Linked DNA regions of Caenorhabditis elegans. The protein of the gene in region 2 purifies or fractionates together with the protein of the main gene of each other region. This does not show direct contact. Each region holds a gene or a part of one and is shown on either strand. Other genes may lie near its edges. The genes, in order: C32H11.4 and ads-1.

The links.
Region 1: the proteins of ads-1 (region 2) and C32H11.4 fractionate together in Caenorhabditis elegans (co-fractionation; one large-scale study listed by BioGRID). This does not show direct contact.

The regions. Positions count from the first base shown.
Region 1 is NC_003282.8:12,919,531-12,923,976, reverse strand, and holds C32H11.4 (CUB-like domain-containing protein), read right to left. Parts: upstream 2,714-4,446; 5' UTR 2,658-2,713; coding exon 2,591-2,657; intron 2,541-2,590; coding exon 2,312-2,540; intron 2,266-2,311; coding exon 2,156-2,265; intron 1,596-2,155; coding exon 1,397-1,595; intron 1,348-1,396; coding exon 1,232-1,347; intron 1,182-1,231; coding exon 1,033-1,181; intron 988-1,032; coding exon 926-987; intron 876-925; coding exon 767-875; 3' UTR 681-766; downstream 1-680. Other genes in the region: srlf-4 (SXP/RAL-2 family protein Ani s 5-like cation-binding domain-containing protein), read left to right, coding at 1-327; C32H11.3 (CUB-like domain-containing protein), read right to left, coding at 3,757-3,865, 3,918-3,979, 4,027-4,178.
Region 2 is NC_003281.10:294,985-300,268, forward strand, and holds ads-1 (Alkyldihydroxyacetonephosphate synthase), read right to left. Parts: upstream 3,573-5,284; 5' UTR 3,548-3,572; coding exon 3,498-3,547; intron 3,448-3,497; coding exon 3,358-3,447; intron 2,909-3,357; coding exon 2,288-2,908; intron 2,225-2,287; exon of another isoform or gene 2,132-2,224; intron 1,862-2,131; coding exon 1,291-1,861; intron 1,242-1,290; coding exon 990-1,241; intron 940-989; coding exon 730-939; 3' UTR 670-729; downstream 1-669. Other genes in the region: Y50D7A.1 (F-box domain-containing protein), read left to right, coding at 4,576-4,657, 4,702-5,017. UniProt on the Caenorhabditis elegans protein: Catalyzes the exchange of an acyl for a long-chain alkyl group and the formation of the ether bond in the biosynthesis of ether phospholipids.

The DNA.
Region 1 (4,446 bases), on a different chromosome or scaffold from region 2:
AGAAAAGAAAAGTTCAATGAGACCACAGTCTCTGTGATTGAAAGACTTCCATCAACTTACAAAATGCTTTCTGAGATCACCGCCAACAGAAATCAAACTCTTTCTCAAGTTGAAACCGCTTTGGAAGAACTCAAGGAAAAATTTAATTTGGAAGTTCAACTTATCCTTATTCTGTCAAAAACTCTCATTCTCAATGAGGAAATTGTGTTGGGCGGTGGACCGATTGAAGTTGGAAATGAGGTCACTGGAAACTCGTTCAGAAGAATGAGAGATTTCAAGAATAAAAATAGAGATGTGAAATCTCTCCTGATTCCAGGACCACTTTAAACAACTGCTTTCACGTTTTTTTGTTGGACTTTTACACTTTTTGTATATGTGGGAATAAATTATAATTTCTAATACACAGTATGAATTATGATTGTTTATTAAAATCAGATATCAAAGTTCAAACATATAAAAATAGTCAAATATTTCTGTAAAATACTGTTTGGAAGGCACAAGGTTGACTAATTCTATTCGAGGCAACCTACGTACCTATTGTTAAAACATAATTTTTATAATACAGAGCAACAGACATGTGCAGGTCAGGTTTGCAGGCAAGGTAGACCTACCTGTTTACTTTGGTAATCTTGCAAAAACAATGTACCAATATTCGAGCACTTTGGCTTATAAATTTTCGCTGATGGACTGCATAACTTTTATTTTAAAAAAACGAAAAAACTGTTTAATACGTCGATGGCAGTATACTTCCGTTTATGCTTTGAAATTATTGTGGAATATTAAAAGTAAGAGTAGCTTTGCCATTGCTAATGACGTATTGAGTTACATCTTCGCCGTAGAACGTGAGTGGAAGTTGCGAATTGATTGTTGAACCACTGAAAAGAACATAACATTTAGGAACTGTAAACCTTGCTAGCAGACGTACTTGTATGTTGAATCAAAGCCGAACGCAGTTTCAGATCCGTAGTAGACTTTCATTGTTGCACTCTGAAATTACGAGTTTAAAAATTAAAAATGATTTTAAAGGCATACCGGGTCCATTTTAATATCAACCAAAGTTTCGTTGCTTCGGGAGGCATATAAAGAAAGAACGGCAGATTTTCCATCACCACCATCAACAGAAGCGGAACATGTTGACACGCCGTAACAGTTAAGTTCGACGTAGTCAACAAAGTTTGCATCTGAAAACTTTAGATATAAAAAAAAGAGAAAAACGCCAAGAGTATCATACATTGTATATCTTGAACTAACAGAATGTCGGTTTTGTTGCTGGCCTCCAAGTTTACGATATAGACCATGCTGCCTTTAGAAACCCATTGCTGGTGCGTTTCATAGAGCGTGTACAAGCTGAAAATTGATTTTTTTTTTCTCAACATTTTTGTTTAAAAAAACTCACTTTGCAACAAAGTTTCCATTGTAATCTTGTCCCTCAAAAACAAGAGAGCTTCTCAGGGAATAATAGTCATTTGGATCGGCTGGAGAGACGAAAAGAGCAACTTTGTCTGAACTGAAATCGGCCGCAAACAGATCCTGTGTGATATTAAGGACATGTGGCTGCATTCCAATTCCGGCGATGTATGATATTTGGGTGGTATCTGGAATCTATTAAGGTTAAACATAAGATCACCCAGAGGGCATAAGAATTTGGGTGCGAAACCTCGGTGGGTTTTTACCACTTCTAAGGCGCTTTTTTGCGGATTGGTTACTTCCGGAACGACCGAATATCATATTAAAATACTCCAAAAAATTTTAGATTTTTCATAATTCCCGGTCAGTTTTGGCAGATTGCCAAAGTTTTGAAAAACATAAGTTTTTAAGGAAATCCAAAGCAGTATTGTATGTACCGACCCCTACAATGTTTCGATACAAATAATTTTTAAAAAATTACAGTATAAAAATGTAGGGAAAAAAAGTTGTTTTTGGTCGACTTCCGAAATTATGAAGGGTAAAAACTGGATAATTTTCACTTTTTGACAGTAAATAAACATTTTTCAAAAAACTTTTGAAAACTTTTATTGTGATATTCGGTCATTTTAGCACCATAGGAGTGGTTTTTATAACTTTCCCCACTGGCGCTGCTCCACCTCAATCAAAATTTGCCTGTTTTAAATTTTTTAGGGTAACCCCCAAATACTATTAAAACTTCCAAACTTACACGGAGCCCATTCAATTTTAAATGCAAACGTGGCAGCTGCTTCATTCGACACAACTAGAGTGAACTTTGGCGATGGGAAGTAATATGGATGCTTTGTCTCCAATTTTGTTCTGAAAACTTAATTTTCTCATATTCACAAACCGGGAAACCCCTTACTGAACAACGTTTCCAGTGCAGTCAACAGTTTGGAAGTATGAATGCTTATCACCCATTTTTCCACTAATCGTCAATTTTGCATAGTATCCTTGGGGAATAGTGACCATCCAGCTACACGATTGGTCCTTGGCAAGAGCCGGTGCCGCTTTGTCTTCTCTCCATGTAGCTGGAAAGTATACAGGCGTTCCATCGATTACTGGCTTGTGAACCACATTTCCAGTCTTGCAAGCTGGAAAAAAATGGATTTTTGAAAAAAAAGTCTGAAAATGAAGATCCTACTATTGCCAACAGCAGACACTACAGAAGCCAGGAGAGCTACAGATAGGAAAGTCGTAAGACTCGGCATTTCAAAGGACGGTGCAGCAGTACTTAATCGCGGCGGTTAAATACACAGACACATGATGATATTTAGAAGGGCGTGAAATTGATAAAGCAATCGGGAAATAGGAAATTGAATCTTAAAATCAGCACTTTTGGCTCCATAATGTCTCTGATAAGTTTTATTGGTTGAGGACTCAAGTTTAAAATTGCACATAGACAAGTGCGAAGATCAAACTAAATTTCAGCAGGAAGCATCCACTGCTCGTCTAGTCGAAAAATTATATTTCTGTTACGGATTATCTTGAAATGATCCTAGCGGCAGTTTTCTGACAACTGAATACTGCTGATTGCAGATTAAAAAGAAACTGAAAATGAGAAAAGACGTTTGCCAAAAAGTTGTTGCCAAATTCCACACAGCTCTTTTTCAGTGCCACCCGGATTAAGTGTAGTATAAGTAGTAAATGTAGTATTTGCTTTTGATTTTCCAAAGTTTAGTTCAAAAGTTTTCCTGACATCACTTTTCATCGACAATTATCATCGTTATTGCACGCCACTAATGGTAAAATCATCATTCACGGCGAGGCGATACTTCGTAAGACAATTAAAGTCTTGCTGATAACGGAAAAAATCAAAAAGTCACATATTTACAAAGTTCAAGAGCAGTTTTAGCAATTTTATTAAAACATTTTCTAAAATTTTTTAAAATGTTCCAAAAGTGTTTCAAATATAAAATAGATTTAGGTGTCATAATCCTGCCAAACTATTTAACACAACAAAAATCTCACGAATAAAAGTCTCTCAGCCGATTGGCTCGTTTTAGCTGTATTGGTTCTATCAAGGTGCATGAGCATCATTTTTCCATTTTCCCCTAATATATAAATTTTATTATACGTATGCAGTAGTTCTTTACTTTTGTGATTAGCAAACAGATGAATATTCATATAAACTAACTGTTTTGGATACTTGCATATTCTATGGTCGCTGCACTTTGCTCTAACCAATCAACCAACCAACCCATCATTATTTTACCTCCATTATACGATTTTATTGGAATTCCTCTTTTGTATCAATAACACAAAGACTCATGAAATGCTTTATTAATTCGAATAAATATCGTTTGTTGGTTATTGTGGAATATTAAAAGTAAGAGTAGCTTTTCCATTGCTGATAACATATTGAGTAACATAACTGCCGTAGAACGTGAGTGGAAGAAGCGAATTGATTGTTGAACCACTAAAAATAAATGATTTTTTGAGATCAGTAAGGAAGTAAGGAGTAAACATACTTGTAAGTTGAATCAAATGCAAACGCAGTCTCAGATCCATAATAGACTTTCATTGTTGCACTCTGGAATTTTTAAAAATGATGAACTGAACTACTGTTTCATGAAATACCGGATCCATTCGAATATCCACCAGGGTTTCATTGTTTTGTGAGACAAGAACCGAAGCAATTGCAGATTTTTTGTTTCCTCCGTCAACTGTCGCAATGCAAGTGGTACTGCCACCACAGTTTAGCTGGACGTAATCGGCATAATCTCGGGTGTCTGAAAACAATAAATGCGAATATTTTTAACTTTACGCCTACGCCACGACTTTCGTAACCACATCAAACATTCACATTAACTTTGCAATGCTTTCACAGTATTTTTAACCAAATTCTATGTATGAAGAAAACATTCGTGACCCTTATTTTATAATATGTGTAATATACTCTTTGAAAGACGCAGGCTGCAAACGATATATCTCGGACTACTATGGTGCGGTTACTGTAGTTGTTTTACCAAAACAATAGGGACACTGGTTGTAAATAAA
Region 2 (5,284 bases):
ATCGAAATATGTGGATTCCTACCAAAATTGGACGTTGGCACGTGGTGCCAGATTGTCCCATGTTAGTTTGATCTACGAAAAGGACGGGAATTTTTTGCACAAGAAAATGTGACCAGCACGTTCTTCCCAGCGAAATCATTATGAGAACTCTGCGTCTCAAGCCCAAAGTTTTTTGTAGATATCCGTTGATCAAACCGAAATGGGACACTCTGACACCACGTGGACGTTCACACGTCCGATTGTCTCATTTTGGTTTGATCTACGTTGATCTTCAAGAAAGACGGGAGAAGAAATGCAGTTGACTTCTCAACTGATTTCGCATGGTTAAGAGCTTACGTCACATTTTTTTTTGGCAAAAAATTTACGCATTTTTTGTAGATCAAACCGCAATGGGACAGCCTGACACCACATGCGTTCAGAAGTCAAAAGTTGAGCTTCTAAACTGTGATTTTAAAGGAGTTAGAGCTAAATTAGAGCAAAGTTGAGCTGTTGAACGAAATGTTGAGGATCCAAACCAAATTTAGAAGTTCCTAGCTAAAATTAGAGCATCGAAATTCAATTCGGCAGGCGAAATACTAGTTTTTCTACAAAAATTGAATTTTCTGAGCTTTTGAGCTAGATTCCGGCATCTGAGCCAATTTTTGAGCTTCTGAACGATTATTTTTTCAAAAAAGTTTATTTCTTCAAGTTTCAAAATCCAATAATAATAAAAAACGAAACAATGATTATCTACAACTTGCAATGCGGTGATCCAATAATATCAATTAAGTTAGCACTGGCGAAGATGTTCGCCGGATCCAGCTCACTCTTGATAGCCTTCAACAACGCAATTCCGACTGCTCCGTTCGTGGTCAGCATCCATTGTTTTCTGATCTTTCCGACTCCGTGGTGATGTGAGATGCTTCCACCGCAAGCGATGATCTCGTCACGGGCGGCTGTCTGGAAATAAGGGCAATTCCGAGATCAGGGGCGTTTTATCGAAAGCTTACCTCAATACGATCATAAACTTCTAGGCCATTTTTCAATCCTCTGGCGTTGAATCCGAAATAGAAGTACACACAGGCTCCGGCATCGTAAACCTGGGTGACTCTGCAGTTCGCTAAAACTGGATGCGTGACTCCCTGAGCTTTTGCCTCGCGTTTCATCAGCTCCTTGACATTCCTGCAAAGGCTGAGAACCTTATCCCATGGAACTGAGGTTTCGAACGACTCGCCGAGCACACCATGGTTCATTCCAAGGTCCTGAAACGATTTAATTCAAAATTTGATCTACCCGTCGGCTCCAACTCACTCTCAAGTAGGCGATAGCAAAAGTAAGCCGATATCCATATTGACCATTCTCGGCGCCTCCGACAACTCCGTGGAACTGCTCGGCCAATTTATTCAGCCTCTCCTCATGCTGATCGACTTCTTCGCGATTTCCCTCATAGACACACGTGGCCGCACAAATCTCGTCGACCTTGAAACCCTTCCACGATGTGATGTACATCTTGCTCACGGAGCTCTTCAAGTCAGCCCACCAAGAATCTGAAGCCACCTTCAACGCTTGTCCCATAACGAATTGATCGTTGTCCATAAGACGAAGGGATGCTGGTTGACAGCGTTGAATGGCAACCTCGCGGAAGAAGTTGACTCCGCTCTCGAAGTTCGGGAACACGAAGCTTCCGAATCTCTTGACCTCTGGGATTGGGAAGATCTTGATTGTGACTTCGGACACCACTCCCAACGTTCCCTCGGACCCCAGAATGATTTGATGGATGTCTGGTCCGGATGACATTCTTGGGACTTGGCATTGCTTCTGGATGATTCCTTTTGGACAGACGAAGTTCAGATGGACGACGAGGTCTTCGATGTTTCCGTATCTGGAATTTGTTGTAAATTTGTACAGTATTATCGAAAAAATACGATCGCACAAATTTCTCATAATTCATTTTTGATCTACCTGTTGAACTTGACTCCGCCCCCCCCCCCCCAAACTTGTTGCCGTTGTTATTTTGTTATGGCTGTCTTGTCGAAGGAAGGGGCGGAGTCAAGTTCAACAGGTAGATCAAAAATAAATTATGAGAAAATTGTGCGATCGTATTTTTTCGATAACACGAAAGGAATTAACCCGAAATTTTGTGGTTTTTATGCCAAAAATACCATCGTGTCAAAACTGGAGTACCGTATTTGCGGACAGCAATACAGAAATTCGGGAAATCTTTGAGTTTTTCAACCGAAAATAGACAAAAATTCGAGTTTTTTGCTTGTTTTTTGAGTTTACAACTTGAAAAATCATAATAACCAACTTGTTCTTCTTCATTCCACTGGCTCTAGTCGAAACCCATCCTCCGAGAGTAGAAAATTCGATGGAATCCGGTTCATGTCCACATGTGAATCCCTTCTTGTTCAACTGACGCTCCAACGATTGCCCGACAATTCCAGCTTGAGCTCGGCAAGTCAAATTCTCTCGATCAATCCAGAGAATCTTGTCAAGAAGTGCCATATCCATAGAGATCACAGCTCGTTTTTCGGTTTCTGGGGTATCCAGAGCGTTTGTGACAGAGGTACCACCTCCGATTGGGATGATCGCGCAGTTATGGCTCATTGCTCCTTCGATGATCTTAACAATCTCATGCTCGCTTTTCGGCCAGACAACGATATCCGGAAGTCTCGGGATCTTTCCCTCTCTCAAATTGATCATGTCGTGAACTGTATGCCCATGACCTCTCATCAATCTGATTCTTGCCTCATTCGAGAAGGAAATCTTGTTTTCCTGCAGGAACTCAATGATATCCTCATTTTCGACAGGGGCATCGATGATCACGTCCGAAAGCTTCTGGGCTGGGCTTACGAAGCCTAGATCGATGCCCAAGTAGTTCTCGAACCACGGGCGGAAGTGTGGCATCACTTTTCCGGAGATTTCGTATCTGGAATTAGAAATTGATACACTCAAAATAAAAAAAAACTGCGTGGCGTGTACGCAGAAAACTCGAAAATTAGGCCCCGTCTTTTTCTCGTCTACTCACGGGAAAAGGCAAAATTCGGGACCAACCAATATCAGGCCGCCGACATCTGACGAGTTCCGCGCGCCGCTGCGCTTAACTCGCTATGGGCGTGGCGAGCTGTCTCCGCCCGCTGCGAGTTAAACATAGCAGCGCGCGGAATCCGTGAGATGTCGGCGGCCCGATATTGGTTGGGGTCCCGAATTTTGCCTTTTCCCCGTGAGTAGACGAGAAAAAGGCGGGGCCTAAATTTTGGGTTTTCTGCGTACACGCCACGCAGTTGTTTTTTATTTTTAGTGTAAGTTGGAGCTTGAAAATTCAACAAGTTCAGCCAACTCCCGGCTTAAATCTGCTCAAATCCCTTGAAATCTCACTTATCCCCGGTAAAAGTGACATGTCCGTCCTTGTTAATCGCAAACTGTGAATCGCTGTACCCCCAGCCATTCCACTTGAGGATTTTGTCGCTGTAAATTGAAATGCTTCAAAAAAAAAGAGTGACAGTGTAGGAGGTTACCGATAAGATTGCGGCACGTCGTGCTCGATTGTTTGATAGGACGCCGACATTTATTGCAAGTCGAGTGGCGAAGATCTGAATCGAACCGAGATCGTGAATTTCTGAGTTCGTGGGAAGTGGGGTTTCATACGGAACCTAAGTACAATCACGAGAAGCTTCAGGTGCTCAACCGATCATATGTTAGTTTAATCTTATCATGGTTGTGATTAAGTGTACCGGAGGCATGATGGTGGTCAACAATAGAATTTTCCATTTGATTCTCTAATTTTGTGGAAATTTTAGACTTGCAAAGCCTAAAAATACCTGAAAGCTTGGGAAAACTAGCTCTAGAAGGGGAAAAACTTCTACCTATAACGGAAAATAGGTAGCAATTTCAATTTTAAGCAGAAATACCAATTTGGCTGCTGTCAAAAGTTTGGAGACTGTGATGTCAGAGTGTCTCATTTCGGTTTGATCTACGTTGATCTACAAAAAAACGCGGGAGAATTGACGCAGAGTTCTCAACTTATTTGGCATGATTAAAAGCATGCTGACGTCACATTTTTTAGACAAAAAGTTCCCGCATTTTTTGTAGATCAAAACGTAATGGGACAGCCTGGCATCACCTGACGACTCCTAGAAACTGTGCGGAAAAAGTTGCCTTAATCGTTGAAAAGGCTTTAACTTAACATTTTGAGCATCAAAGCTTGAGACCTAACAAAATTTTTCAAAGAAAATGAGATTTTTTCTGAAAAAATAATCTTTGAACACAAAATTAGTCCAATTAGAGTTAGGCCAAAACTTAAAAAGAGAGAATTTTTCAACTGAAATTCAAAAATATTCAAAAATATTCAACAATAAACCCAAAATCAAATAAAAATCAATCAAACTCGCACTCCTCCGTACTTGCCTACAATAGAGCGTCGTGCAAGTGGTATATGTGTACACCTTATCACCTCTTTCTGTCTTCAAACCCCCCTCACTCACCCGCTTATCACCAACACAGACAAAGTACGCCAGCAGCAGATTAAAATCGTTTTCTTTTCCGCTTTCGAACAGGAATTGTCTTTCGGAAAAGCGAGAAGTTTCATATTTTCAGATCGAATCGCCGAGTTTGGTTATGAGAAATATTTTTTACGACTTCCGGAGCCAGCGCTGAACAAGGTTCTGCGATATTTGAGGTAGTCGGAAGCCCAGCTGCCAACTCCTAAATTCCAGATTCCAGATATCCCGACCTGCAAACCCTCAAATCGATATGCCCGGAGCTCACCGACTTGTGCGATTTACACGTGAAGCTCATGGATCACAGCGAGTTCTATACTCACCCTAAATTCCAGTTCGAGCGTTGCTCCCCGGATGATGAGGAGGAGGAGGTGGTGGCTGGAAGGATCAGAAGCCCCAGAACCTCATCGTCAAGTGGACAGCTGGACAAGGTTGCCGACGAGTTTGTGGTGAAGGATGTGGAGATCATGTCGGAGAGGCAGAACGCGTGTGCCACATATTTTGAGCCTACTAGATCGCTTTATCTGTTTGGTGGAGAGGTAAAATCGATGAAGATAGACAAACTTTGAGATTAAGCCGATTAAGCTTAGCGGCCTAAGCCTAAGGACTAAGCTTAAGGATCTAGGCTATTCCTAACGTTGGTTTAGCATTCTAAGCCTAAGGAGCTAAGGCTATGGACCTGCGGCTTAGAACCTAAGGACCCAAGACTATGGGCCTAACAAGGATCCTAGGAACTGTAGTCTCGGTACCTGAGCCTTTGGACCAAAGTCTAAGGAAATGAGGTAAACCTTAGGACCAGAGCCTAT